4 linked regions of the Rhinolophus ferrumequinum genome follow. The protein of the gene in region 2 interacts with the protein of the main gene of each other region in a pairwise test. Links are inferred from orthologs where the notes say so. Each region holds a gene or a part of one and is shown on either strand. Other genes may lie near its edges.

Region 1 (6,253 bases), on a different chromosome or scaffold from region 2:
CACCCATGGAGGCAGAGACTGTGGCATTTACGTCAACCATCCCAGAGCAAAGCATCTGTCCTTGAAGTTGCATAAGCCTCATCTTGTCTCTTAACTGCAAGATCTTTACTCAGATACTAGACTTTTAGGTAAGTTTTCTGTCTATGTAAAACCTCACGTTAGGTGTTACATCATATTCTTGTTGTCTGCATTTCTAGTTGACGTACCAATTTCTTTGATTTCCTTTATCAGCAGAAATGCATCTCTCATTTTCAGGCAAATGTCACTGACAGTGAGAGGTGTGAAATATGGACCTCCTAGAAATGACTACTTCTAATGGGGAACATATACAATGTTGACAGAAATTTGCTCAAATCTATCAAATTGCATTGTGCCCAAATCCAGTTTCGAAGTCATATCAATCTTTACTTAAATCTTCCAAATCCTTGAATACAAAAGTTACAGGCAAAAAAGAGAGAAAACGGTAATAATAAGAAGAATGAACAATATTTTGGGTGCCAGATTACATAAATTTATTTGATGACAATTTTCATTTTCAATTGCTCTTCAGTGGAAATCCAATAACATATATTTTATCAATAGTACAGGTAGTAGGGCTTAACTTTGAGTTACCAATCAATTTCAGAGTCTGTCAAAAGTTGGTGATGCAAGATACTGATGATTTAAGAATAAAAGAATAGTGGTAACTGGTGACAATGAAAATGATCGCTGTACTGAGTAGAGACTTTGACCTCAAAACCAATAGAATCTGGGCCCTTTACAACTTGATCAGTAGAAACTGGATCCACAGGTTGGTCTATAACACGATGACTGGCAGCTCCTGGAGGCAAAGTAGGTTGGGCGGTAGAATCCAGACCCATAGCTCGGGGAAGGGAAGCCACAGACTCCATAACCCAGGGGTCTGAAGCCACTGGAACCACAGCTCAGGGAGTAGCGGCTCCTGGATCCATAGCCCAGGGAGCAGCTGCTGCTGGACCCACAGCCCAGAGACCCTGTGTAAGTTGGTGGGCAGGGAATGCAGAGCGTGGAGGTCCTTGGGCGGTAGCAGGACGTCTGGCAGGGTCTGGACACCGCACAGGACGTCTGGCAGCTGCTGGGCCCACAGTATGTCTCCTGACAGCCACTGTAGAGAGAAGAGCCCAGCTGGCATGTGCTGGGGGAGCAGCGGTCAGTGCTGTAGACTAGGTTGCTGGGGTAGGAAGAGCCACAGGAGGAGCCTGGGTAACGCAGGTAGCCTCCAAGGGAGCGGGAGGAGAAGTTCCCAGAGCAGCAGTTGTAGGACATGTTGATGGAGATGTGAATTCAGCTGAGTTACAGGAGACGATTCTGAGTTTGAATGTCACTTCTGGGCTATGGCATTTATATACCCTCAACAATGGGTGTGGTCCACTATGAGATCACGGTTTCTATATTGGATTTGCTCTTTTGCATAAGACTAACTCAGTAATTGTCTCTGTAATTGCGGTTACATTTGAATAGTTTTCCACATATTGTATTTATGGGTGCTATAATTTTGTTTTTACAGCCAAAGCCAATGAACTGCTCCTCTGTCAAAAATGCTATGACTGTTTTATACTAATGCATATCCCATCACGACCAGGAAAGCATCAGGGCCAAGAAAGCTTTTCCTCTGGCTTATGCTACCTCCATGTGCTTCCTATGTAGCCACATCTAGTTTTGCTGGAGGATGCTTTCCTCCTAAGAGTGGGGAATGAGGTAACATCAATTATGTTCTGGTGCAATGAATCCATTTCCATCAGAATGGGAGTCTTCCTGAAAATGATCCATCTTGTCACCATTGATTCCCATTCTCCTAAATGACTTGGTGTAATTTGTCATGGCAGCAATAGAAAACTAATACACCAAGTACTGCAGCTACACAGTGTGCCCCTCACCCAATGAAAAGAGACCAAAACTAGATAAAACAGACAGATGGCGAGAAACTGAAAGACACTTTGTCATGTATTTAAAGATGAGGTGACAAAAAAGAGCTCCACTGCAACAGCCCCAGGGAAGATCAGTCTGGGCCTCTTCCCAGACAGCCAAGAGGGACACACTAGCTTGATGAGGGGAGGAAACAACTGAAAGGGGAACACCGAGAAGGCTCAGCAATTGCAGATTTTTTTACTGCACTCCTAAATTGTGGTCCATTTTATCCCAATACTTTTATAACTAAAACTTTACAAAATTAGTATATTTTATGCATTTTGATATGTTTTCCTTTTCATCATCTACATATATAACTATCCAAGGCTTCTATCACCTTATAATGTATCTAGCTTTCCACTGCACAGGCTTTGAGTGACTTTCTGGCTCCTGCAGAGAGCCAGGTACCGCTCTGCATTTTCTTGCCTAAATCTGAAGTTCCTTTTCTAGTTCTCTTTTCTTCTGCTGTATACAGACATATCTTTCTCTCCCTCTTTCCCTCTCTCCCTCTCTCCTCTCCACCTCTCTCTCTCCTTACCCACCAATTTTCTTTTCTGTTTTTTCTGGGTTTAAGTTTATTTTGTTTTGTTTTTCTTGTTTGCATTGCTATTTATTTTTTGCTTCTGCTTAACTATAGTTTCAGTTTTAAAAACGTTTGTTAGATTTACCATATTCTTAGAGCACAACCAAATGCTTTCTAAGTTCATTCACAAAATATTCAATGTTTATGCAACCAGTTAAATTATATTCTGGACTGAATGAAACGTACTCTCATGGCTGATGGAAAGAGTTTCTTACAAAGCTGTAACAAACTTACAAAAATGATGTTAAATGTATAAAATTTTCTCAATAAAATCTATAGCAATTTTAAAAGTCACTTAATGTAGACCTTCTAGAAGGAACAGAGGAAAGAAGTAAATGCACCCAATTCAAATAGGTAGTGATGAGTCCTTTATTTTCTATTCTTCAAGACCAGAATTCATTTCTCCTTGCTTTGTGCCTCAGCAAGTAGATAAACTGTCCTATTAATATAACACTGTAGATGCTATTCCTTCCCCATTGTTTTTTTCTGTTTTAAAACACAACTCTTTAAGATTATCTTGATATTGGTCAAAGGGTACAAGATTTCAGAATAAATAAATTCTAGAGATCTAATGTACAGGATGGTAACTACAGTCAAAAATACTATTAATACTATTTTGTATCCTTGAAATTTGCTAAAAGAGACTATCTTAAATGTTTTTACCACACACACACACACACACACACACACACACACACACACAAATGTAATCATGGGAAATGATTGATATGCTGTTTAGTCTCATTTTGGTAATCTTTTCACAATGTATACCTATATCAAAACATAACATTGTATAGCTTAAATATCTACAACTTTTATTTGTCATTTATCCTTCAATAACACTGGAAAAAAATGAAATAATATTGATGATAAACCTTAAGACTTAAACAGGGGACACAGATTTATTAGACAAAACTGGGGAATGTAGTGAATTTGTCTTCAATTACTTGTCTCCTTGTTTAAGGATCCTTTTCTGTAAGATCCAATCTTCTCTTCCCTTTGCCTCTAAATCTAAAAACTTTGTCTACACTAAGTTAGTATGAATTTAAGAAGAATTTGTACTCCCCAACCTGGGACTGAATTAAACTCAAAGATTATATTTTTTTTGTTGTATATAACATAGACCTCCACCATTGGGTCTTCTCCTTCTTCTTCTTCCTCTTCCTCTTCCTCTTCCTCTTCTCCTCCTCCTCCTCCTCCTCCTCCTCCTCCTCCTCTTCCTCCTCCTCCTCCTTCTTCTTCTTCTTCTTCTTCTTCTTTTTTGACTGAGTTACTTACCAACAATTAAAAATTGAGATATTTGACTTAAAACTTATCACTCTGGTTTGTACATCCAGTGGCTTCTGATTTTTAGAGTGCAGAGTGCCATCACCAGACTATAAACAAAATAGTTTTGATATTTGAGGTGTGTTTCCAACAGAAACTCATCTATAGTTGCAAGTTACAACTTTTGGCACCTACCTACTAATTACCAATTACCAATCAATTTGTCACTCACATGTTGGGCATCTTGCTTTTACTAGTCATCTAGGGTGCAGCTTAATAAACAAAAGCCAGTATTTCTTATATAAAATTTTTTTCAATCACTATATAGTATTATTAGCCAAAACACATTTTTTATTACTATACGATATAGATTAGAAGGCTTTGAATTCTGTATTCTTAAAAATACATTTGCTGGACAAAGTTATCATGGCTGCTTTTCCTAAATGTGCTGCACGCAATCCTAAGGCACATTTCTCTCTGTAATATGGTCTTGGTATTTTTCCCTAGGGATCTTTTAATTAAAATTGTATAAGGTGGAGAAACACTGAAGATTTCTCAATGAACATATTAATGAGGCACCTGATATGTATTTTTCTATAAAATGTCCAGAAACAATGGCTGAGAACACGAATTCAAATGCAAGTTGTTTACTTGACCGGTGAGCCTAATAAATCTCTGTTGGGAAGTGGGACAATGTGACGGAATGAAAGGTTGGCAACACAGGGTACATCACTAAGCTAGGTACCATGTAGAAACTGGAGCTCAGTTCTCACAGAGAATTCCCTGCACAGGAGCTCTTGTGAAGTGAAAGGTCCTTTGGCAGAGTTTTACAGATGTCCCAGAAGTGTACAGACGAATACCCAAGGGACATAGGCAGGGTGTTGACAGCTTCTACTGGGGATGGGTGTCACTTAGAAAAGCAAAGATACCATAAATATGGAAAGGAATACCATGAGATCTAGAAAGATAAAATAAACTGAGAAAAGCAGAAAGGTACGAAAGCTCCTGGTGATTTCAGGCCATACTGAAACACAGTATAACACCAGTACATGTGGTATGGAAATGGGAGACAGAATTAGAAAACCTGGACACCCACGATGGCAGCTTTGGAGTTTTCTGAATTGTGGTGTCATCTACCACCATTGAAACAACAGGAGCAGACTTGTAAACGGTCAAATGATCATCTTCGCTGCAGCCACTCACTTATTTGAATCACTCCTATGTATTATAAAAATAAATAAATCTCTCAAAGTTACAGAAATTTAGCAAGTTAACATTGCTTAAAATGTTACACCAGTCCTCTCAAGGAGACTAGAAAAGCTAGAGAAAATTAAAAAAATAAGAATCTCTCTTTGAAAACTTCAAAGAAATACGCAAGCATTCTAGAGTCATAGAGAGTCTATGCCCTATAGGGAGTCTGGCCCTATAGGGGCCAGAACTGAAGTCAAAAGAAATGAGCCTAGATCTGGACTTGCTGGTCTCTTCAAGTTATGTTGATTTTGAAAGTAGAGACTAAGAGGCTGAGGGAATTTTTATAAACTCACAGAGCTAGAGAAACAAAGTTAGAATTTGGGGCCCACCAAAGAGTTGGGACGGTGGAAAATAACCCAGACATTGGAGAGCCAATTTCTAGATGTAAACTTGAATTATTAATAGACAACCTCTTATAAGGGCTGATGCTTCGGTTTGAATTATCTTAATTTTATTATTATTATTATTAGTTTCAGGTGTATAAAACAATGTAATAGTTAGACATTTATACCCCTCACAAAGTGTTAATCCCCCTCCTCCAGTCTACTGCCCCTCTGACATCACACACAGCCCTTACATTTCCACTGTCTCTATTCTTTATGAATTATCTCAGTTTTTGATTGAGTTAAAATGACCAAGGCTGCTGGTGTCCTTATTCTAGCAGCCTGCCAGAATCTTAAGTAAACCCTCTCTAGATGAAGGTGAAATCATCCAGATACATACATATTAATCAATCAATCAATATTTATTACTCAAATATTTATTACTCTCTCAAAATATAGTAGGAATACAAGAAAATAAGACAAACACAAGAGAACACCAGAAAATAGAATCTGAAATACACAATCCATGCAACGGACATGTCAAAATCACACATTAAAATACTTATGTTAAGAATTTAACGATAGGAAATAGGAAGAAATATCAAGAAATAGTAATGTTTAAAGAATTAAGGGCAAGATTGAGAATTTTTGCAGAAAACCAAAAACCATAGAAGAGAAATGAACTGAAATTTTAGAAATTTACAATATAATAACTGATTTAGAAACCTTAATGTGTTTTGTTTTTTTTTTAATTGGGGAAGGGGAACAGGACTTTATTGGGGAACAGTGTGTACTTCCAGGCCTTTTTTTCCAAGTCAAGTTGTTGTCCTTTCAATCTTAGTTGTAGAGGGTGCCGATCAGCTTCAAGTTGTTGTCCTTTTCAGTCTTAGTTGTGGAGGGCGCA
Region 2 (8,047 bases):
GGCTGGGCTGCTCTAAGCTACCCACCGCAGAGGATGAAGGGAAGAAAGAACAAGTTTAATGTAATGTGACTAGGGGACCCTGGTGCCCGTTCTTGGCATAGAAGCCCACTCAAGCCAGAGCAGCTTTAAGTGTTTGACTAAGACAAGCCAGAAGAACTGCCCACTGCCGACCAGCCATGTCGAAGGTAAGGATTCCTGCCTTTGGATGTGGAATGAAGTCACACCATTCCTGACTCGATGCCAGTCCCTCTTCTTCCCGGGTTGTTTCCTTGGAAAAGGCAACCAGGCTTTGGGCCCCTTGCGCCTTTTCTCTCATTTCAAGAACAACGAGACTAAGATCCACACCAAGGTGTTTTCACTTTATTCTATTTATACATTCTCCTGCTCCCAGATTTGGAGGCAGACCATGATGTAAGCTCAGCAGTCCTGCTCAGAGCCTTTACCAGATTCCATCAGTTTCCCTTTCCCCATCCCCCCACCCTCACCCATCCCATCAGACAGAAGACTGAGCTAACCCTCTCCAGCCCCCCTGCCCCCAACTGCAAGAGAGCAGGCCTGGATAGAAAAGACAGATTCCAGTGAGGGATGGGGCCCTCTTTCCAAGGCACAGGGGCCACCTTCTCAATGTGGCTACTGGCTTGTTCAGATTTGGGTAGTATGCTGGCCTGGAGCTGGGGCTTGCAGTGCCTCCAACTGACTGAGGAGAAGAGGAATGTGAGGGCGCTGGTGGGGGTCCACAGTCATCATGGAGGCCAGCAGCTGCCGCAATGCTGAAGAATGCCTGTGGAGAGAGGAGGGCAGGGTGATGGGGGGTGCACCCACCCCCCATGCCGAGGCGCCACCCCTGCTAATATCAAGGAGAATCTGAAATGCTTTGTGCCCCTTCTATTGCTCACCTGGGACTTTCTGGGATGCTGAGTTGGTTCTGTACAGCAAGGGCTACACTGTCACCCTTCTGGAACACCATGTCATAAGGGCCTTCCCCAAACATCATGGCATATAGCACACAACCTAGGGACTGAGCAGAACTTAAGTTATTCCATGGAAGGGGACCAGTGGAGGTGATATCTCTTCTCTTAATTCTGTAGTGAAATGAGTCTACATGAGCTAAAAGGAGTATGCCAACAGCCACATGACACCAGCAGGGCCCAGAGAAAGTGCCAGTTAGCGGGAGGCCTCTACACCGCTTACTTAGCCACCGCCTTCAGCCCTGACTTAGCTGTCCCAACCCTGTTCAAAGGGCAGGGTTATACCACTTCCTGAGCAATTGAGTACAGTGTCAGTGACAGTTCCCAGGAAGGAAGTCGAGGGGGATGGGGACACACATGGTTCCTGGGGCCCCGTGCACTAGAAACCAAAGACCTGCTCCTCTACTCCACAGGAGGTACAGAGCAGCATTCCTCCCCACCCACATGCTCCTCACCCAGACATCAGTCCGCTCATCGATGACACAGTGGCTCTGCACAGAGAAGAGCTCCGGGGCCCGGTAGGAGATGGTGCACCGCTGGGCTGCCCAGTCCTGGAACAGTGGCCCCAGAGCTCAAAAGTGGGGCATAGCTCGTGGTCATGTGACCAGAGTGGAGCACGCACCAGAGGGGTCAGGGTTGGGGAACAGGTGGGCAAAGGAACCTAGAGACTCTCTTACCTGCAGGGCCAGAGCCTGGCGGGAACTCTCCACATGGATGCATGCTTGATTCATGGAACCCAAGTCCATTAAAACCGGCTGCCCCTCATCTCCAAGCAAGATATTGGTGGGCTTCAGGTCCCTGGTGGCAAGTGGGAATGACCCATGAACATCCCCAGACAGGGCGGCTGGAATCCCAGGGGGCGAAAGAATCATGGAGGCTGTTCCTTGGGAGGAGAGCAGACCTCATTTTCTTGGTGGGGCTCTTCCTTTCCGCCCCAGAAAGTACACAGGCCCCTGCCCCCCACTGACCTGTGGGCATAGCCCTGGGCATGAATGGCTTCAAGTCCTCTGCAGATACCCAGCAGCAGCTGAAGAATTTGATCTTCAGTCAAGAAGTTGCCTTTGTCTTTCAGTCTTTCGATCTCATTCCACAGCGTACCTCTCTGCAACACAAGTATCCCCACAGCTGGTGTTTTCTGAGCCTCTGTTCCCTGAGTGTGATCCCTTCATGCCAAAAGCCTATCAACATTTCCACTACACACAGCTCATACCCCACAGTCCCACCTGGATTCCTTTAAAGCCCAAATCCGAAGTGGTCAAACCCAGGACATGGCCTCCGCTTCCTAACACACTTGACTGCTCACACAGCTCTTGGTAGGTGACTCTGTTGCAAACCCCTCCGTAGCCAGGAGACTTTCTGACCTTGAAGAAAGGTAGCAGCAGCCAGGCCTCATGTTTAGTGCCCCGCTCCCTCAGACAGTAAGCCACGAGGCGAAGGACGTTGGGGTGATGGAAGAGGCGATGCCTGTCTGCTTCACGTTGGGCTTCCTCCCGGTCCTGCTGCTCGTGACACAGGATTCGCTTCAGGGCGTAGAAGTGTCCATCATGTAACCCCTCCACTAGGTCCACATAGCTGAACCCACTGTGGGCCAAAGGGGTCAGTGAAGGACCACGGTCATCTCCCACACTGCTTGGACCCAGAGGAATTCCCTGGGGAGAAGACGGGGGTGTCTTTCCCATTTACTAGAAACCCTCCCAAGATGTAGCTCTGAGAGAAGTCTGAAGATCATTACACGTTAAGCTCAAGAGGTGGGACATAATCTTTGAGGTTCTATGATCATAATCCACTGCTCTGCACATGGCAAATGCTTAACAAACATTAAATGAATAATAGTCAACATTTATCAAGTGCTGTGAACCAGGCACTGGCGAGACATTTTATATGTATTTTCTCATTTAATCCTCACAGCTCCATCAGTGAGGCAAGACAGTAATTATCTCCATTAAGCAGACGAAGAAACCATGTCTTATCAAGGTCATACAAGGTGGATCTAGGAGGCTTGGCTTCCGAACCTATTTTCTTGACTAGCATGTCACTAGGCATGCTAAAAGATAGGTTAAGGATAAAATCTTTGTGCCCCTATCAAGTCAGACTGCTGTCCTCAATCACCACAACCCTGGGGACTAGTTATTGCCAAACACTCACCCCTCCCCCAGTTTCTGGATGAAGAGGTAGCGTTTATTGTCAATGATGACAGTTCCCCGAGAGCAGACACACAGCGCGTGGCCCATAGTGTCTCAGTCATCCTCCTCAAGGACCGACTGAGGCTGCCGAAGGGTTCTCCAGGTTGAGTGGGCTCTTCCAGGCGATGCGCTGGGGGCCCAGCGGATCATACTGGAAGGAAAAGAACAGCAGGGTCGCGGGTCGGGCACAATCCAGACGACCACGGAAGTACCAATGTGGGGAGCTCAGGCCCAGGTCTCGGAACCTAGAGAAAACGGGCCCTGGCGATACCAGCTCCAAGAAGGCTGGGATCAGGGGCCTTAAAAGCCTCAGGCCACGCAGCGACTACCAGACCGCTTGCTCCACCTTCACGCGGCTCGGGCGCCCACGCCCGCGGGGCCGCGAAGGCAGGGCATAGGGCAGTTGCGAGGGGGTGCGAGGCTCGGGCCCGTCCCTTGCAGAGCCCACCCCGGGCCTCCGCGCGTAGAGCGCAAGTAGGCCAGCTCGGCTCCCCCACTGACCTGGCTCAGGCGGAGAGAAGCGCCAAGGACCGGAAGCAGTGGTTTCATCATCATTCCGCGCCGTCTTAACGGCCCGAGGTATCTTAGCAACCGCCTGGCTTCCGGACGATGTGGGGGCGAGGAACTGACGGGGGTGGGGCGGGCTAGACCTGCGGGAGGACCGGTCCTAGGACCCGGGTGGAGGTTCCATACCTGGCCTTCAGGACGCAGGCACCTACGCCAAGGGGGAGCAAAGCCGGGCTCGGCCCGAGGCCCCCAGGACCTCCATTTCCCAATGCCGGAGGTAGGAGGCCTCATACCTCCGGAGCGCTGGGTGGCCGATTACAGTCCAGCCCGGGGTGGGCGGGAGGACGCAGGGAGGGGCGGGTGCTGGCAGCCTGGACACGGGGAGCTCTGATCAGTACAACCTTGGGGACTCTGGCCTGTATCCCTAGTCTCAGTGGTTAAGAGTTCAGGTTCTTGATGCAGACTAGGGTCTAAACCCGGCCTTAATAGCCTACTAGCTGTGTGACCTCGGACATGTTATTTAATCTGTCGGAGTCTCACTTTCCCTAACTGCAAAATACATATACTAGTACCTAAGATTAAGTACATGAACTGTGAGGCCAGACCGACTAGTTCAAATCCCAGCTCCCCTAAACTAGTTGTGTAACCTTGGACAAGCTACTTAACATTTCTGTCCCTCAATTTCCTCATCTGCAAAATGCAAATTGTAATTATCTACCTAATGGAGTTTTTTGAAGATTAAATGATATGTAACGTGCCTTGCACAATATCTGACGCGTAGCCCTTAGTAAGTGTCAATAAACAATACTAATTATATTAATACAAATTATTATTATTACCCTGGTTCTCACATCCCAGGCTTGGGACTGTGAAGACAGGAGTAATGGAAATTCACAAATTCCCAAGCCTTGGCACGAAGCCGCTGTGCCCAGCAGCAGCTGAAGGATTTGATCTTCAGTCAAGAAGTTCCCTTTTTCTTTATTCAATTGCCCAGGGAGGCAGGGAAAAATTGGAAAGGGGTGCACATCCAAAGAAGATGGAATGCCCTTGACGGTCTTTTTTCTGTTGAAATAGGGCTCTCCAGGAAAAAGATCCCTTTTATAACCTGCCCCCACCCCCTTCACATCAGTGGGAAGATCTTCCGAAGTTTCCCTTGGTTCTGAACCTGTTTTAGAGTCCTGGTTCTGACATTCATCTAGATGTAACCAGCTGTGTGCCGCCCACTGCTAGAAGCTGAGGATTTGGTAGACAAGGCACTCTCAGCCCTTTGGAAGCTCAGTCTAGCAGAGCACTGCTTCTCAATCTTGAACATGCTCAGGATCACCTGGGAATCTTGTTGAAATACAAATTCTGATTCTATAGGTCTGAGGTAGGACCTGAGATTCAGCATTTCTAACAAGCTCCCAGGAGACGCTGATGGAGCTGGTTCAAGATGTAGGGGATTAAAAAAAAAAAAAAAGATGTAGAGGATTTTACAAATTAGTAGAGTAGCAGGAGACAAAGTCCAGGCTAATCGCTTGGCAACTTGGAGTGGTCTCTGCCCCTCCTTGCTTGCTGAGATTCCCTCCCAGGAATCCGCCACGTGACAGTTGGACTGCCATCTCTGACTATAGGAGACCTGTAAGCGCCATGGTTCCCAAGAAGCCGCTCTGCCTTCCCTCCCTGCTGCTGCCGCTCCTGACGCTGCTGCTGCCCCAGGTAAGATAAGAGGATTGAACCAGCCGGCTGGGTGCGGCGAGGCTAGATCTGGCGTAAGAGAGAAAGTGAAAACAACAAAACAGTGGGCAGGGCTAGTTCCAACTCCTCTGCTCTTGGCAGCCGCTGACCGCAGCCCTCCAACTCCAGACCTCTGTAGAGCACGGTCTCTCCCTTTGCAGGCAGATACTCGGTCGTTCGTAGTGGATCGGGATCATGACAGATTCCTCCTGGATGGGGTTCCGTTCCGCTATGTATCTGGCAGCCTGCACTACTTCCGGGTACCACGGGTGCTTTGGGCAGACCGGCTTTTCAAGATGCGAATGAGTGGCCTCAACGCCATTCAGCTGTAAGAAGTGCTCAAGAGAGCCATGGAGGGGCGGGATTTACTCTTTTTGCCACCCCCTTAAGAAGGATGTTGGGACAAGAAGACTGGCGGGGTATCATGAGGGCTTAGAGCTCCAGGGCTTCCAGGCCAGGGAGGGAAAAGGTGGGCCAGGACCTCCTTCCTGGAGATAACCCTGCAAGACCTGAGCTCTTAAGCCTCCTGGGCATCTCCCCCGATGCCCGCCTTGGGCCCTGTTAACCTTTTCCTTTCTCAGTTATGTACCCTGGAACTACCATGAGCCAGAGCCTGGGGTCTATAACTTTAATGGCAGCCGGGATCTCATTGCATTTCTGAATGAGGCAACTATAGCGAACCTGTTGGTCATACTGAGACCAGGACCTTACATCTGTGCAGAATGGGATATGGTGAGTTAGTTGGAGAAGGGATAGACCTAAAGCCACCCAGAGTTCCTAGGCTCCTCCCTTCTGCCCACACTCTAGGGTCACTTTCAGCACTGTACTCAACTTCCTCCCTTCTTCCTGCCCCCATTCCACCCCCAGACAACAAAACCTACATGCTTCTTTGTGGTCTTTGTGTTTGTCTTAGGGGGGTCTCCCAGCCTGGTTGCTTCGTAAACCTAATATTCATCTGAGAACCTCAGATCCAGGTGAGTTGGGACAAAAATTTAACACAGAAAAAGCAAACAATGACAAAATGGGTCATTTGGATACCCAAAACAGAAGAGACCACTCCCAAATCAGTCAAATATTTATTCAGTGTTTCCTTCCTGCCCAGCAGGATTCTAGAAACTGAGGATCAGACAGACCCAGATCCTGTGCAATGGAGCTTATCATATAGTGGAAGAAACAGACTTTTTAAAGAAACCTGCAATATTATTGCAAGCTATAAAAATACCACACAAGAAAATGGACAAGGAGTTGACATAATAACAGAGAGGGCCTCTTTTAAGTAGGGAGGTCAGGAAAGGCTTTTCTGAAAATATAATATTCAGTTGACTCTCGGGAAGGGAAAACTCTGGTGATATGAAGAGTGAGGTAAGAATGACCAGGTAGAGGGGTGGTATATTCTGAGGCCAAAAAATGGGAAAGAACATAGCATGGTTGAGACCAGCATGGCTGGAGCATAGTGGGTAAGGGAGAGAGTAGTGTGATGTGAAGTTGGAAATAGGGACTATTGCTGCAAGACCTTGTAGGCCATTGTAAGGGGGTTGCATTTTACTCTTAGCATGGTAGAGTCATTAAGAGAGTTTAACCAGAGATCTATGTGAGATGATCTGATTTGTTTTCAGATTAGTTTAGCCTGGATGTGGAGAATGGATTGAGGGGAGTAAGGGTGGAAGTGGAGAAACCAATTGGGAGACTATGCCTGTAGTTGAGGAGAGAGATGATGGCTCCTAGACTAAGCTGATGGTGTTGTCAATGGAAAGAAGAGGGCAGAACTGAGATAAAATCACCAGGACTTGTTGATAAATTTCAATGGAAAGGGTAGGGGTGGGGGAAATGGGAGTAGGTCTGGAAAGAAAGGAATGAAGGTTTTGGCCAGTCAAGATGGTGGTTCCATCTCATTCAGAATATGAACTGTTCCTTAAATTATCTATTAGGTCCTGCTTTACCCTCTAAATATATTGTATTCACCTACTTTTCATCACCTCCACTGCCACCACCCTCGTCCAAACCACCTCTCAGCTGGATTATTTTAGTAGCTTCCTAACTGGTTTCCCTTCTTTGTCCCTCCCCCATGCAGTCTATTCTCAATCCAGCAGCCAGTGTGATCCTGTTTAAATATATTTAAATATCTATTAGATCATGTCATTTCTCTGCTTAAACCTCTCCAATAGGTTCTCATCTCATGAGAATATGAACCATGGATTCCTTACAATGGTCTTGGTCCTACAGTAATTGGCCCAGCCACCCCCGTGACATCTACTCTTCTCATTGCTGTTCTCCAAAGCCAGCAGGCGTGTGGTGCTCCCTCTAGCTTCTTGCAAAACCACCTTCTCAGTGAGGTCTTCCCTGGGCCACCCTCTAAAATGGAAGCGCCCCCACCCTACCACTTTATATCTTCCTTCTCTGCTTTATTTTTTCTCCTTGGCATTCACTCACTATGTATTTTACCCATTTATTATCTGCCTCCCTCGCTGGAAAGGAAATTCCACACTGGCAGAGATTTTTGTCTGTTTTGTCTTGTCCTCCGTCACTAACACCTAAAACAGTGCTTGGTGGATAGTCAGCAGTCATAAATATTTGTGGAATGAGATTTAATGTATGCTTGGATTAAAGAAGGCAGTAAAACGTGGACACAAACTATAAAAGGAATTAAATGTTTTAAGAATACAAAAATATCCT
Region 3 (7,438 bases), on a different chromosome or scaffold from region 2:
CTAGAAAAAGTGCTACATACCTCACTGCTGAATATCACTAGGACACCTTCGAAGTACTGCCCTTGGGAAGCTATGCACTGACACCAGCGCCTACTCCACCCTTCAAAGCAATTTTGGAACTCTTTTTCTGGAATGGCCATCAGAGCTATCGCCGTATTACCCTTGATGTACTAAATGTCATCAAAATGTCTTCCTTTCAATATTTCCTTTATCTTCAGGTAAAGAAAGAAGTCATTGAGGGCCAGAATAGAAGAGTAGGGAGGGTGTTCCAATATAGTTATTGGTTTACTGGCTAAAAACTCCCTCACAGACATGCCATGTGAACTGGCGCATTGTCGTGATGCGAGAGCCATGAATTGTTGGCGAAAAGTTCAGCTCGTCTGTTTCATGCAGACTTTTCAGCACCTCCAAATAGTAAACTTGGTTAACTGTCCAGCTGGTACAAATTCATAAGGAATAATCCCTCTGATATCAAAAAAGGTTAGCAACATCATTGTAACAAATTCTCAAACTTCATTATCATACCACTTAGACCCTTTAAAACAATTTGATACAATGTGTTCAGTGTTACAAGTAGATACTAAGGTAGGCTTGTTTTGCCATTGGGGACTGGTAAAACTTCTATCCACCTGCTGGGTTTTCAGCATACATAGTTCACCAAGAAAAAAGGGAAAAGATCATACTAGTAACAAATCAAGAGGGAGGACAGGAGTGTCCGGAGCTCAGAATGGAGTGGGCAGCAGGAAAAGACCAAATAGAGTCAGGTTGGAGCCTGTACTGTGAAGAGTCTCCTGGGCCAAGCCTGAGTCAACTTTAACTTCTCTTTTCCTCACATCCTATACCGAAGCCATCATCAAGTCCTGTTGGCTCAAATACATAACTGGAATCTGACCATTTCTCACCACCTCTGTTCCTACCATTCTGGCTCTTGGTCCAAGCCACCATCAAATCTTACCTAGCTTTTAGCAAGAACTTCCTTCTGCCTTTGCCTTAGTCTACTCTGGGTAAGGCAGAGAGAGAGACAGAGAGCCTTCTAACACAGTAGTCCTAGGCCTTAGCTGCACGTTACAATTGGCTGGGGAATTCTCAAGAAGTTCTTATGTCTGCACGTATTCTAAATTAGTTGCTATGAAGTGGGGCCCAGGCAGAGGTATTTTTTAAAGCACCCCAGCTGATTCTAACTTGTGGCAAAAGTTCAGGACCACTCTTTCAGTATGTAATTCTCGTGTCTCTTCTCTGTCCAAACCCTTCAACACTTCCCATATCACTCAGTATAATCCAATGGTCTACAAGGCCATATGTGATCTGGCCTGTGACATCTCTTACCTCCCCCTTGTTCATTCTATTCCAGCCACACTGGCCTCCTTTTTGTTCATTGAACAAGTAAGGCACACTTCTGCCTCAAGACCCTTGCCCTTGTTCCCTCTGCTTGAGACACTCTTCAGTTAGAAGTCTGCATGGCTCAATCCTTGACCTCCTTTAGGGCTTTGCTTAACTATCACCTTCTTAGTGATGTCTTCCTAGTCCACCCTCTTTAAAATTGCAACTCCTGCCCACCACTGTCTGTCCTTTTTATTCTTCATAGCACTTGACACCATCTAACTTCTGGTGTATTTTATTTGCATTATCTATCTCTTCTCCACTAGAATATAAACTCCAGGAGATCAGGAATTTTATTTAACTGGTATATATTCCTATCACCTTAAATACTGACATACAGTAGTGCTCACTAAATCTTTGTTGAATAACTGAATTTCTGTATATGTGTTTTGGTGGAGGCTGGTCCATGGTGCAGGCCATGTAGAATCTGAGGCACTTAGGGATACCAGGAGAGAGGTCAGGCACTTGGTCTGAGGCAGATGATGACTGAAGCTGTGGGAGCAGCTGACCAGCCCAGAGGAACATGGACATGGGGTAAAGGAGCCCCCCAAATTAGCTTCTACCCATGTTCATCTTGATGGGTTTCACCTCCATCTGCCTGGTCACCAAAGAGGCACCTGGGGTCATCCCAGACTCCTCACTGCCATGTAATTCCCCTGAAAACATTCTGTATTGTCTAAGTACCTCCAAAATATGCCACTTCTGTCTCTCTGCACTACCACAGCCATCCTCTCCCCCAGCCCACTGCCAACAACCCAGCCTGGGTGCCTCCACCATTGTTTTCCACATTGCAGTTTTAATTGTTTTTCTTTCTTTCTTTCTTTCTTTCTTTCTTTCTTTCTTTCTTTCTTTTTTTATTAGTTTCAGGTGTACAAAACAATGTAATAGAGACATTTTTTAAAAAACTTTTATTTACTTTAAGTGTGTTTTTCTAGGACCCACCAGCTCCAAGTCAAGTAGTTGTTTCAATCTAGTTGTGGAGGGTGCAGCTTATAGTGGTCCATGTGGGGATCAAACAGGCAACCTTGTTAAGAGCACCAACTGAGCTAACCGGCCGCCCTGTACTAGACATTTATACCCCTTATAAAGTGATAACCCCCTCCCCCAATCTACTTCCCTTCTGACATTGTATATAGCTTTACAGTTCCACTGAGTCTATTCCTTATGCTGTACTCCACATCCTGTGACTATATACATATATACATATATATTAAATTATAGTTGACATTCATTATTATTCAGCTTCAGCTTCAGGTGTACACTGCAGTGGTCAGGCACCTACACTGTCCATGAAGTGGTCTCCCTAAAAAGACAAGTGTCCATCGGATACCCTACAAAGTCTTTGCAACATTATTGATTATATTCCCCAAACTGTCTTTCGTGTCCCCAGGGCAATCTTGTGGTAACCAATTTGTGCTTTCTAATCCCCTCACCTTCTCCCTCATCCCCACCCCCCTCCCATCTAGCAACCCTGTTTTTTCTCTGTATCTCTGAGACTGTTTCTGATTAATGTGTACATTTATTCTGTTCTTTAGATTCCACATTTAAGTGAGATTATACGGTATTTGTCTTTCTCCGTCTGACTTATTTCACTTTACATAATGTTCTCTAGGTCCATCCATATCGTTGCACATAGTAAGATTTCATTCTTCTTTATGGCCGAGTAATACCCCATTGTGTAAATGTACCACAGTGTCTTAATCCAGTCATGTACCAATTGGCATTTCGGTTGTTTCCATGTCTTGGCTATTGTGAATAGCGCTGCAATAAACATAGGGGTGCATAAATTTTTTCGAATTAGAGTTTTGGATTTCTCTGGATAGATACCTAAGAGTGGAATTGCTGGGTCATAAGGTATTAATGGTTTTTCTAAAACACAAGTTTGACCTTCTCCCTTCCTCTTAAAATCTTTCAATGGGCTCCATGCTGCCCTTGGGGCCAAGTCCTAGCTCCTGTAGGCCTTCTGGGACCGTGAACTGGCCTCCCTTTCTAAAGTCGTTTCTTGCCACTCAGCTTATAGGCCGCCAAAGCACAGGAGGACTTCCTCACACCTGGGGCCTCTGCTCAGGACTCAGAAGAGAGTCCTTTTGGGGGAACGCTTTCCTGCTGACTGGGCTGCCTCCTCTGGTCCCCCTGTACCTAACCTCACGCACACTCACTAACGTCACTATTTGGCAGCCTGTCCAGGCTGGGCGCGCCTGAAGGAAGTACTACCTGTATGGGTCATTGTTGCGTCAAGAAGAGAGAGCGTCAAGAAGAGAGAGCGAGATAACCCAAGGGAGGTAGAGAGGGAGCCAGGCGCCTGTCCTACAAGCCCATGAGCGCGTGTGAAGGGTGTTCCGCCCTTGGGAGGAGGAGCCTGGGGTCCTGCGCCGCACTAGCTACCCTCGCTACCCACCAAGCGGCACTGAGTACCCTTCGCCTGCAGATCTGGGGGGTCGCAGAGCTAGATCTCAGCCAGCTGCCCTCCCGGGGCGAACTTCCTCTCAAGCTTTCTGCAGCCGAACGGAAGAGGCGGGGACGTCGACCACGCTAAGGAGCCGGCAGTGCAAGGTCTGTAGCCAAGCGGGAGAGCCAGCATCCTTTCTGCGCAGGCGCGCTGCCCAGGCCAGGAGGGGCGGGGCCTGGGCGGTAGAGGGGCGGGGCCGGATCCTGGGCCCGCCTCCACTAGCTCTTGTGAGCCTTCGAGAGTGCTGGGCACCCCAACTATTCTAAGGGCCTCAGGTGAGCGGGGGTCGCAGAGGGGTCAGGAGACCTCCGTCGAGGTCGGGCCGTCGGTCTGACCGCGGGCCCATCTGTCCTGCCGTCTGCCAACAGCCGCTTACGCGGAAAATGGGAGAACAAAGGGAGGGGGCGGTTCTGGGGCCCCTGAGGGAATCCAGGGTCCCAGGTACTTCGCCCCGCCCGCTGACACTTTCGGTTTCTCCCCGAGTCAGAGGCGCCGCCCAAGAGACCCTGGGCCGGCGCCGGGCGCAGCTGCCTCTCCGCGTTTGCCTGTCCGTCTTTGTGTCTGTCTCTGTGTCTGTCTGGCTGTCTCCGAGCTTGCCTCCACTTTTAGAACTAAGCTTCCCGGACACCGACATCCCGCGGACTCGCGCCCCTTTCCCATGGCAGGTAAGTGGGAGCAAGGCCGAGGGTCTCCGTTATCCCCCCCACGGACTTGGGAGCTGGGTGTCGAATGCATCCTCCGGGAATGTGCTCGGACTGGCTGGGTGGGGCCCCTCCCTTCCTCCCAGGCAGCCACCGCCCTGCTCCCCCGCCCCATCTTTCTCAATCTCTTCCCATCACATTTTCCCCGCAGCCTCGCGGTTGCCTGTGGGCTAAGAGGTAAAGGGATGAGGCCGTGAAACCCTTTCTAATCTACGTCCCTGTCCCTCCACAGGTTACTTGCCCCCCAAAGGCTACGCCCCTTCTCCCCCACCTCCCTACCCTGTGACCGCTGGGTACCCGGACCCTGCGCAGCATCCTGGGCCCGGGCAGGCGCCAGTGCCTGCCCACGTGCCTGCCCCTGCGCCCGGCTTCACTCTCTTCCCTTCACCCGGCCCCGCTGCCCCGGGCCCTGCTGCCCCTTTTTTGCCATTGCCTGGGGTGCCTTCTGGCCTGGAATTCCTGGTGCAGGTGAATGGGAAGGGGGAGGGAGGAGTGACGGGAAGGGGACAAGGGCTTGCAAGCCGGCCAGCTGAGGTGGGCGTGGCTCCTACTCTCTTTCCAGATTGATCAGATCTTGATTCACCAGAAGGCTGAGCGAGTGGAAAGTGAGTGGAAGGACCAATAGGTTGGGGCTCGTGAGGGGGGCAGATATAGTGGTCTCTTGGGCAGGTACTGGTACCTGAGCCTCAGCGTGTCACCCCTCGGCAGTGCTCCTAGGCTGGGAGACAAGTAACCGGTATGAACTGCGCTCTGGGGCTGGACAGCCCTTGGGTCAGGCAGCTGAGGAGAGCAACTGCTGTGCCCGTCTGTGCTGTGGCGCCCGCCGGCCACTGCGTGTCCGCCTGGTGGACCCCGGGGATCGAGAGGTGCTGCGCCTGCTCCGTCCCCTCCACTGTGGCTGCAGCTGCTGCCCCTGTGGCCTCCAGGAGGTGGGCGGGGAGGGATGGGTCAAAGTTCGGGTAAGGGGCAGGCTATAATGGGGAGGACCAATGATGGAGCAGAGCAGTCCCCGCATGAAGCGTGGGAGTGAACAGGTGGCACTGGAGGTCTAATGAGGGGGATGACGGGGGTCTAGTGAAAGGGATGGGAGGTCTTGTGAGGGGGGACAGATGATAGAACTGTAGCGGTGAGAGCTTGGGTCAGGGTGCCTTGGCTCAGCAGTGACCCTATCTGCTTCCCACTCCAGATGGAAGTACAAGCTCCACCCGGCACCACCATTGGCCATGTGCTACAGACCTGGCATCCTTTCCTCCCTAAGTTCTCCATCCAGGACGCTGATCGCCATACGGTCCTGCGAGTGGTGGGGCCCTGCTGGACCTGTGGCTGTGGCACAGACACCAACTTCGAGGTATCAGGAATAAGGAGCGATTCCTGGGACCTTTATAAACCAAAATGGCAGTTTCCATGAGGCAGGACGGCTAATACTAAGGTCAAAACCCAGAACTCATCAATCCAAATCCACTGTGACCCCTACCACATTTCCAGTGTTCGGGTCCTCCATTCAGAAATAGAATGGCTCCGTGGCCTTATAAAAGCATGACAAAGAGGGTTTCATTTTGAGGACCAATGCTAATTTTTACCTGCAAACTATGTTGAGGAGGTAAAAATCTAAGGCCAGGCTGGATTTAGGGTGAAGGATTATTTCATCTGCCATGGGCTGGATCTATGGCTGCTGTGCATGAGTTTGTGAGTTTAGGACTTGGAGCAAGCACGAATTTGACTTGTTAATATCCTGTGGCTTGCCCTGCCAACCTAGAAGTCCAAATGGCCCCTCCAACCTGGAATCCAGGTGATATCTTTTTCACCATGCATTCCTGTCACCAAACTGGAGCCTGGAGAACCCAAGTGGTGACAATTTCAAGGTGAGGCCTGGGAAACACCTTTGTTTCTAGAAGACAGTCACTTTGAATTCTTTTAAGGGATAATTACCAGTGCAGATAAGGGAGAAATAATGGGTATAATCCAGACTTGCCAAGATATCTGATGAGGTCTCCTACCTAAGGTTACTTTTAAAAATTGAGCCACCTTAGTAGCTGGGGGGAGGTTCTGTGATGGGAACTGGTTGAGAGAGATAACTTGGTGACTTCTGGATGGGAAGGTGTAGACTTTGGGGTTTTCATGGGGCTAGTCTCCCTTTTACATAATTATGAATTGTCCATATTTGGGGCTGTACTTTTGGGACTGGGAGAGCTGACTGGGAGAGGCCCTGCCCAACTTCAGACTGGTTTTTAGGAAATGCCCCAGAACTGTAGGACAGTGGGGGAAGGGGATGGGAAGGGCAGAGAAGGAAATCATGTTAGTTTAGCCACTAGAGAATTAGCATAGAAAAAGAACCAGGGAATCACTGTGAATTACCACCTAGATTGGCAGGGCCTGTTGCTGCTGGGCCCAGAGACGCCAGTGGAAATCGTGGTCCTCAGAGGCTACTTACTGCTGCCCTCTCCCCCCAGTAAAGGCTCCCCTCTAGCTGAGGCTTCCATGCAGTGCTAGACAGGGCCCTCCCTACTTTGCAGAGGAGGGGTACCCCTTTGGGCAATCTTCTAGGAGCCTGGTTGGCTGGTGGAGTACAGCCAGGATTTTAGCAGCCTCCTTTGCCCTCTTGGCCAAGCTACTTTGTGCAGGGCACAAGCTACACCAAATGTGGGTGACAAGGACTTTGGTAACCAAAACAAACCTAGCAACCAGCCATACACTAAGGAGAATGGATGATATCATGCTTCTATTTTTCCCACCATTGATATTCAGTTGTGTATGGCCCTTCAAGAGCAACAGATGTTAAGTCTGACTTTTGCTATATACTCAGTGTGACCTAAGGTGACTGAGTTTCCCCAGAAGTCAGTCACATGGAAACCCAAGGCTGTTGGGAAGATTCATTACCGTGCTTCCCCGAAAATAAGACCTAGCCAGA
Region 4 (7,504 bases), on a different chromosome or scaffold from region 2:
GGGAAGGTTTCCTAGGGAATGTGATGGCTGCTGCTGCTGCAGAAAAGATCTGTGTAGTGTGAGAGGGAAGGCTGGATTTGTAAGAAATCAGTGACCTGAGAACTCTACCACAAGGCACTGCAGGGCCAGGGCCAGGGCTCCAAAATGTCCTTCCATCTCATTTAGGGGTGACCTCATTTTCAACTTGTCTGTGATCTCTACCTCTAAGATTAAAGTACTGGGATTAAGAGAACCAAAGACAGCCAAACTCCTGGGGAGAACTGAGTTGCCATGGCAACAGCTCCTACCAGGGGACAGTTCTGCAGGCTGGAGGGGAGAAGGGAAAGGAGAGGATGCTCTCTGACAGCAGCCATACAATACACCACGAGAAAAATAAGCCCAGAATCTGTGACTCCCTCTTTCTCCCATAAACCTCAAGTGCCCTTGGGAAGGCGCTTCGGGTAACACTAAGGTCCCTCTGTACAGCTGAGAGTTAAATGCAAATTTGCAGATGTTGACCCTTGAATGAATCCATGTGCTCTCATCACTCATGTACTGCTGTAAGCTCAGAGGTGCTCTCAATGCCCCCACATTACAAGCGAGGGAAGGTCAGGAAAAAGGGTCACACACAGCTAGTAAGTGCTGAAGTCTGAGCTGGGACCAAACCCATGTCGGTCTGACTCCAGTACAGCATGAGTGCCCTATCCCCACCACTCCGGCATCCAGTCCCACTGTTGCCAATAATTAGCTATGTGCCTAGGACAGCTCACTTCCTTCTCTGGGCCTAAGCTTAGTCATCTATAAAATAGGGAGGCAAAATAGATGAAGAGAACTCTAAGTCCCTCCAGCTCTGAAAGTCTAACGAATCCAGTCACTTCAATGCTGTTTCTGAAGCTCGTTGCCAGATGCTTCACAAAATAGCTTCCTGCCCTAACATTCTCAGCCCCATTTCCTTGTTTATCAAATAAGACCTCTGTTCTGTTTCCAAGCTTCTTCATTCTGTCTCTCTTTCCATCCTTTTTCCCCAAAACTCCCAATCTCTTTGGAAATCCCAGATTTCCTACCTCATCCATAAGTACTACAGCATGTGTTTCTAGCAAATAAAGAGTTCTTTTCCACCCCTCGTCCAGATCACCTGCTCTTTCTTCCTTGTGGCATCTCTTCCTCACCTTTTCTACCAGTCACGCTGCTGAAGCATTCCTTGGTGGGAAAGCCCGTCTCAGGCCCTGTATACATGGGCTGGGGACACATGGTCTTTAGGAGCCCCTGCTGGGTGCCAGGCCAGTGCTGGCCATGAGGACACAGGGATGAATCAGACATGCTCAGCTCTCACCCAGTTCTAGTCTAAAGGATCCCTATACATCTGCAAACCCCCTGCCAAACATTCATACATTTCCTTAGGTCACCCTTAGTGAAGTCAACGGAGGGACATCTCCATTCCTATGTCCCTCAAGATCTCCTCCTACCCCACAACCCTGACCTTTTCCATTGTTTCCTATCTCAGTTTTCTGAGCCAGAATCCCAGGCTGGGCTATGATCTTACATTCTGCTTCCATGCTGAACACCCCCCAGACACACACACAAAATCAGTCACCAAGTCCTAAATGCCTGATTCCTGTAGTTCCATGACACCTTGCTCCCCCCAAGTACCCTCCTCCAATCCAATCTATACTCTGAAACCAGAGTAGTTTTTCTGAAGTGCAAATCTGATGATCTGTCACCCCCTGCATTAAACACTTCAATGACCCTGTATTCCCTTCCAGATAAACTCTAGACTCCTTAACAAGATTTACAGGCCCTTTGCAACCCTGGCAATCAACTACCGGAATAGGTTGCTGCTCCCCCACCCCCACCCATCCACAGCAGGCTGGGGCCACTTGCAGCCCAGGCTTGCTTCACTTAGCCCACTCATCCTTCTACCTAATTCCTCCAGGAATCTTTCTAGATGGGTTGTCTCTTTGTGATCCCAGAGGGCCTTGTACTTCCACTGTCACGGTAGTTACCTATCTTGTAATTCCCTTTACATCTGGATCCCCCTTTAGGCTGTGCGGTGCCTAAGGAAGGACTATCCCTGATTCATCTTTATGTCACCAGTACCTACTGCAGGGCCCAGCAGTAGGTACTGGTGATGCTCAGTAAATGTCTATTGAATTGAATGGAGCTTACTTGGCAGCACCGATTTACAGAAGCACCTGGTATTCTGACAAAGGTCAATCTTGCCCTACCTGGCGTCATGCACCCTGCTGGTTCCCTCTCTTGCTGGGTAATTCATTCGGACATTTATTGAGCACCTAGGCAGCCCTGCCACTGAACAGGTGACTTTGACAATAGTCAAAACAATGACGTTATCATCGCCCTATGGGAAAGAACCACGGTCTCCCCACTGCTGGATCTGCTTTCCCTTTCTACAAGTCTTCCCGATGGCACCTAGCCCAAGACAGATCAGAATGCTGTACTCCTAGAGCACACTGGGCCTTTTCCTGATCCTCCCCCAAACTTCCCTCACCCAAGCCCTGGGAGGGGGCAAGCCAGCAGGCTGACTCAGGACCCAGCCAGAGGGCTGGGCAGGCTGGAGAGGGTGGGGGTTTGAGGGGTGAGGGAAGGATACACTGGCAGCCTTTGGTTGGGTCTGCGTCTACCCCGGGCAGGAGGGATGGGAGCAGGGAAGGGAGAGAGACAGCGGAAGAGAGGTCACCTAGGACAAACCAGGGAACAGAGAAGACACACACAGAGCAGCTAAAACAAAGACCAAGAAAAGAAGGAGAGAAACTAAGGCAGCCGACCAAGAAAGAGGGCAAAGACGAGAGGCTGGACAGAGCCTGAATGGGAACTGAGACCGTGGCGCGGAAGGAACAGCCGGGAGGGAAAAAAGAAGGCGGGAGGGAGAAGGCGCACCAGAAGCGGGAGCGGGGACGGGGGCGACTGACGGGGATTCAGACCCGAAGGGAGGGACGGACAGAGTGAAAGAAGGGAGAGGCGGCAGGACAGGCTCCCGCCGGATCCGGGCTGTGCACTCACCGTCGGCGGGCCCGCGGGGGCCGCCTGCTGCAGAGGGACAGGCCTCGAGGGCAGGTTCATCATCCTGGCCTTGCAGGCAGCTGGCACTGCGCAGCCCAGCCGCCGCTCCGCACCCCGCCTTCTGCACCCCGCCCGGCCCGCGGGATACTTGCGGGTGGCGGAAGTACACCTGCTCCCCGCCCTGGGGTGGGGGAAGCTGGTCTCAGGGTGTGGGTAGAACCTAGGAGTGGCGTGGGCTGCGCCTGGCGCCTGGCTTCGGGGGAGACCCTAGTCTAGCCTCTTCCTCATTCTCACCCGGGTGACCCCGACAGCCAGATGGGGGAGGCAGAAGGAACTGACATTGAAAGCAGGAGACTCTATTCACCACAGTCCTAGGGAGTGAAGATCACCAACATCTGTTTTACAGATGAGAAAAGTGGGGCTCCAGAAGTTGGGGTGGCCAGTGTGGGCTATTTACCCACCTCAGATCAGCTGCTAAACGTGCAGTGTGACCCTTGATGAAAAGAACTAAGATATCTCTTGTGTGGTTATTTTGCTTGTTAAAACTGTGAAAATTACTAAAGGAAACCTCAACTAAAATTGAAGTCGGAAGGGCCTGTACTGGGAGTTCTCAGGCTTTACTACTCATTTATTTATTATTTTTAAAGATTTTATTGGGGAAGGGGAACAGGACTTTATTGGGGAATAGAGTGTACTTCCAGGACTTTTTTCCAAGTCAAGTTGTTGTCCTTTCAGTCTTAGTTGTGGAGGGCGCAGACTCAGCTCCAGGTCCAGTTGCCATTTTCTAATTGCAGGGGGCGGAGCCCACCATCCCTTGCAGGACTGGAGTTGAACCAGCAACCTTGTGGTTGAGAGCCCACTGGCCCATGTGGGAATCGAACCGGCAGCCTTCAGAGTTAGGAGCATGGAGCTCCAACCGCCTGAGCCACAGGCCGGCCCAGGCTTTACTACCCATGATCATTTACCTCCAAACAGGGAGAAAGGATACCTTGGATTTCCAACAGGAAGATTTTCTACTTTATTACCATAGTGGGTGAAAGGAAGATTTTTCTCCTTGCATGGCAACACCTCAGCCAGTGAAAAGCCACTATACTTACAACTCCCAGTTTCCTCCAATAGACTCTCTTTTTGGAACATCCCCTCCCAATTCTCCCTTTGCTCTGCAAGGGAAAGGTCTTCTCCTTTGTTTTTTCAACGTGCCTATGGTTTTGCCATAACTTGCCTGTCCTACATTGCCGTTCTTTGCTGATCCCAAATAAACCCATTTTTTTTTTTTTTGCTGATAAAATAACTGACTTTTAAAAAAAATCTATATCAACAACATATAACCCTAAAAGAGGGGAAGCATAACTCCCTACTCTTAAAGTATGGGCTGTGCATAATGACTTTCTTCCAAAGAGGACAGTATGAAAAGGCAGCAAAAGAAGAATAACTTTACAATGGAGGAAGCTGACAAACACTACTTCAGCCAGATGTCAAAGTCAATATCAAGTCATAAATCATGACTGGTAGTATTTAATTTTTTAAAAAATAAATTTTATTGGGGAATATTGGGAAACAGTGTGTTTCTCCAGAGCCCATCAGCTCCAAGTAGTTTTCCTTCAATCTAGTTGTGGAGGGTGCAGCTCAGCTCCAAGTCCAGTGGCCACTTTCAATCTTTAGTTGCAGGGGGCACAGCTCACCAGCCCACGTAGGAATTGAACCGGCAACCCTGTTGTTCAGAGCTCGTGCTCCAACCAACTGAACAATCCGGACGCCTGGCACTTTACTTCTTTGATCTTTCTTCTAAAAACCCGTAACACCAGTCTAATCACGAGAAAAACATCAAACATATTCCAATAGAAGGACATCCTACAATATACCTGACCAGTAATTCTCAAAACTGTGAAGGTCATCATCAACAAGGAAAATCTGAGAAACTGTCATAGCCAAGAGAAGCCTAAGGAGACATGCTAACAACTAAACATAATGTAAGTTGGTATCCTGGAAAAGAAAATAGACATTAGATAAAAACTAAGAAAATGTGAATAAGCTGTTGACTTCAGTTAATAATGATTCATTAATTGTAACAAATATACCGTACTAATGTGATAGCTTAATAGGGGAAACTGAGGGTAGGATATACAGGAATTCTCTGTACTATCTTCTCAATTTCTCTGTAATCTAAAACAGTTCCTAAGAAAAGCCTAAAAATTTTGACTCAGTAACAATACAATTGCTGTGGAAAACAGTATGGAGTTTCCTCAAAAAATTAAAAATAGAACTATCATATAATCCAGCAATTCCACTTCTGGGTATATAACCAAAAGAATGAAAGGCAGGATCTCAAAGACATATTGGCATACCCATTTTCATAGCAGCATTATTCACAATAGCCAAGAGATGGAAGAAACCCAAATGTCCATCAGTGTATGAATGGATAAACAAAATGTGGTGTATATGTATAATGGAATGTTATTCAGCCTTAAAAAGTTGGGAATCCTGTTCCATGCTACAGCATGAATGAACCTTGAAGACATTATGTTAAAATAAGCCAGTAACAAAAAGACATACTGTATGATTCCACTTATATGAGATATCTAAAGTAATCAAATGAATAGAAGGTAGAATGGTGGTTATCAGGGGCTGGGGGGAGGGAAGAAAGGGAAATTTTTAAATGGGTATAGAGTTTCAGTTTTGTAAGATGAAAAAGTTCTGGAGATCTGTTACATAGCAATGTGAATACATTTAACACTACTGAACTGTACACTTAAGAATGGTTAAGATAAAAAAAAAGAATGGTTAAGATGTAAATTTAATGTTATGTATTTTTTACCACAAAAAAAGAAAGAAAAAATGACTTTTGGTTATAAACTAATAAACTAATGGTGAAAAAACTTGGAAAAAATAATAACAATAATAACCAACCAGTATCTGGTGAAGAAAGATAAAGCTTTGGAGAGAGATAACTGGGAATGGGACCTGGGAACCTGCCATTTACCAGCTATGTGACCATCCGTTACTTCCCCTCTCTGAGCTCTAGTTGCATCTTTTGAAAAATACATGGGAGTACTGAGTTTGCTGGGTTGTTGTGAGAATTAAATTAAGTGAAATAATCTATCACGTTTCCCAAACTTCCCTGATGCTAAGACTCCACGTGCTTGTTAGACACCATTCTGGAACCCCACCTCCAGAGTACTGAAACCAAATTACCAAGGAAGGGCCTGGAAACCTGTATATTTAACAAGTATCTTGTCATCTTGGAAATTTGGGAGACACTAGAATGATGCATTTACAAGGCTTTCTTAGAGTGGGGCTCCGTGAATATCAGTGCCCATTCCTTCAGACTCTATGGCATCACCCATCCAGAATCACCCCATTCAGCCAAAGGTACCTTTCCAATCTCTTCTTCCCCCTCCTCCCCACATGGGTTGTCACTTCATTTATTCAATCAAGAGTTACTGACAATCGCCCTTGGCTAGGGGTTGGGTGCTGGGGACACAGGTACCTGAGACACGTCTCTGTCCTAAAGATATGGGCACAATTAACTTTAATGAAAAGTAAATGAATGTATGAAAATATGTTAGGCTTTTGTTTCCAACAATATGGAAGGTGAGATATCCTCTTGCTACGAAACATCTCAAAACATTGAATGTGTGTATCTCTATGTATGAGCTGACGGGGAAGTCAAGGAAATGCTATGAGGTGCTCTGCATTATTGAGCACTGACTCTACCCACTTCCCTGGGGTTACCTCCACCGCTGAGTGTCCTAGAACTTTTATTTTAAGGGGAGAGAGTAGGAGACAAAGTCTGGACCATTCTGGACAGGATAGGATGTCAGATCAGAGACTATAAAAGGATAATTTTTTTTTTTTTAATGCATCAAACAAAGGTGAATGCTGTGGAAGCTTACCTGTCTCGTTCCTTGGTTCTGGGTGGAGGAAAGTCTCCCCTGAAAATGTTTGGCTATATACTAGAAATCAAATAGATCTGGAGGCCAAATATTCACTTTTTTCATCAACAACAGCAACAACAATCAGAAATTTAATTTAAAATGGACCAGAGTTGGTAGTGCCCCCAGATGACTGACAAAGAAAATGAAAACCCTTCCTGGAGGGAGTGCACAATCAAACCAAGCCTCAAAGAGTCCACACAGATAACAGTCCAATAAATGCAAGCTCATAGTCTAAAGTCACAAACCACAAAAAGAAACACAGTACCATGAGCAAGAGTCAATGGATCTATAAGCACCTCAGAGATTACTGGATATAGAATAGAATAGTATATAAGTGTTTAATGTGCTTAAATACAAGGGTGTATTTAAAACATGAGTGAAGAAGATATGATCAAAAATGAGGAGGCAGATTTGAAAAAAAGCCAAATAGAACTTCTAGAAAAGAAAAATTACTTAAACTTAGTAGGGTTGAGGACATGCAATCAAAGGAGAAATATTGCACTATTTTTCATCCATTATTTTGGCAAATAGTGAGAATAATAACAATATGCTAGGGGTGGTAAGGATGCAGG

Evidence for each region.
Region 1: the proteins of STK16 (region 2) and keratin-associated protein 13-1-like interact in a two-hybrid assay, tested with the Homo sapiens proteins (2 studies listed by BioGRID). The two-hybrid records come from large-scale screens. The link is inferred for Rhinolophus ferrumequinum from reciprocal best matches to the Homo sapiens genes STK16 and KRTAP13-1.
Region 3: the proteins of STK16 (region 2) and PLSCR3 interact in binary tests that used the Homo sapiens proteins (3 or more experiments, as listed by UniProt). The two-hybrid records come from large-scale screens. The link is inferred for Rhinolophus ferrumequinum from reciprocal best matches to the Homo sapiens genes STK16 and PLSCR3.
Region 4: the proteins of STK16 (region 2) and KCTD14 interact in binary tests that used the Homo sapiens proteins (3 or more experiments, as listed by UniProt). The link is inferred for Rhinolophus ferrumequinum from reciprocal best matches to the Homo sapiens genes STK16 and KCTD14.

The regions. Positions count from the first base shown.
Region 1 is NC_046285.1:96,956,976-96,963,228, reverse strand, and holds keratin-associated protein 13-1-like, read right to left. Parts: upstream 1,380-6,253; 5' UTR 1,285-1,379; coding exon 769-1,284; downstream 1-768. UniProt on the Homo sapiens protein: In the hair cortex, hair keratin intermediate filaments are embedded in an interfilamentous matrix, consisting of hair keratin-associated proteins (KRTAP), which are essential for the formation of a rigid and resistant hair shaft through their extensive disulfide bond cross-linking with abundant cysteine residues of hair keratins.
Region 2 is NC_046291.1:16,219,153-16,227,199, forward strand, and holds STK16 (serine/threonine-protein kinase 16), read right to left. Parts: upstream 3,253-8,047; 5' UTR 3,200-3,252; coding exon 3,114-3,199; intron 2,550-3,113; coding exon 2,330-2,549; intron 2,071-2,329; coding exon 1,937-2,070; intron 1,767-1,936; coding exon 1,646-1,766; intron 1,520-1,645; coding exon 1,424-1,519; intron 1,019-1,423; coding exon 897-1,018; intron 782-896; coding exon 643-781; 3' UTR 339-642; downstream 1-338. Other genes in the region: GLB1L (beta-galactosidase-1-like protein), read left to right, coding at 5,288-5,356, 5,536-5,702, 5,956-6,106, 6,288-6,348. UniProt on the Homo sapiens protein: Membrane-associated protein kinase that phosphorylates on serine and threonine residues. In vitro substrates include DRG1, ENO1 and EIF4EBP1. Also autophosphorylates. May be involved in secretory vesicle trafficking or intracellular signaling.
Region 3 is NC_046304.1:11,473,277-11,480,714, forward strand, and holds the start of PLSCR3 (phospholipid scramblase 3), read left to right. Parts: upstream 1-4,110; 5' UTR 4,111-4,212; coding exon 4,213-4,494; intron 4,495-4,762; coding exon of another isoform or gene 4,763-4,998; intron 4,999-5,092; coding exon 5,093-5,135; intron 5,136-5,238; coding exon 5,239-5,459; intron 5,460-5,716; coding exon 5,717-5,878; intron 5,879-7,438. UniProt on the Homo sapiens protein: Catalyzes calcium-induced ATP-independent rapid bidirectional and non-specific movement of the phospholipids (lipid scrambling or lipid flip-flop) between the inner and outer membrane of the mitochondria.
Region 4 is NC_046294.1:52,179,560-52,187,063, forward strand, and holds the start of KCTD14 (BTB/POZ domain-containing protein KCTD14), read right to left. Parts: upstream 3,254-7,504; 5' UTR 3,061-3,253; coding exon 2,998-3,060; intron 1-2,997.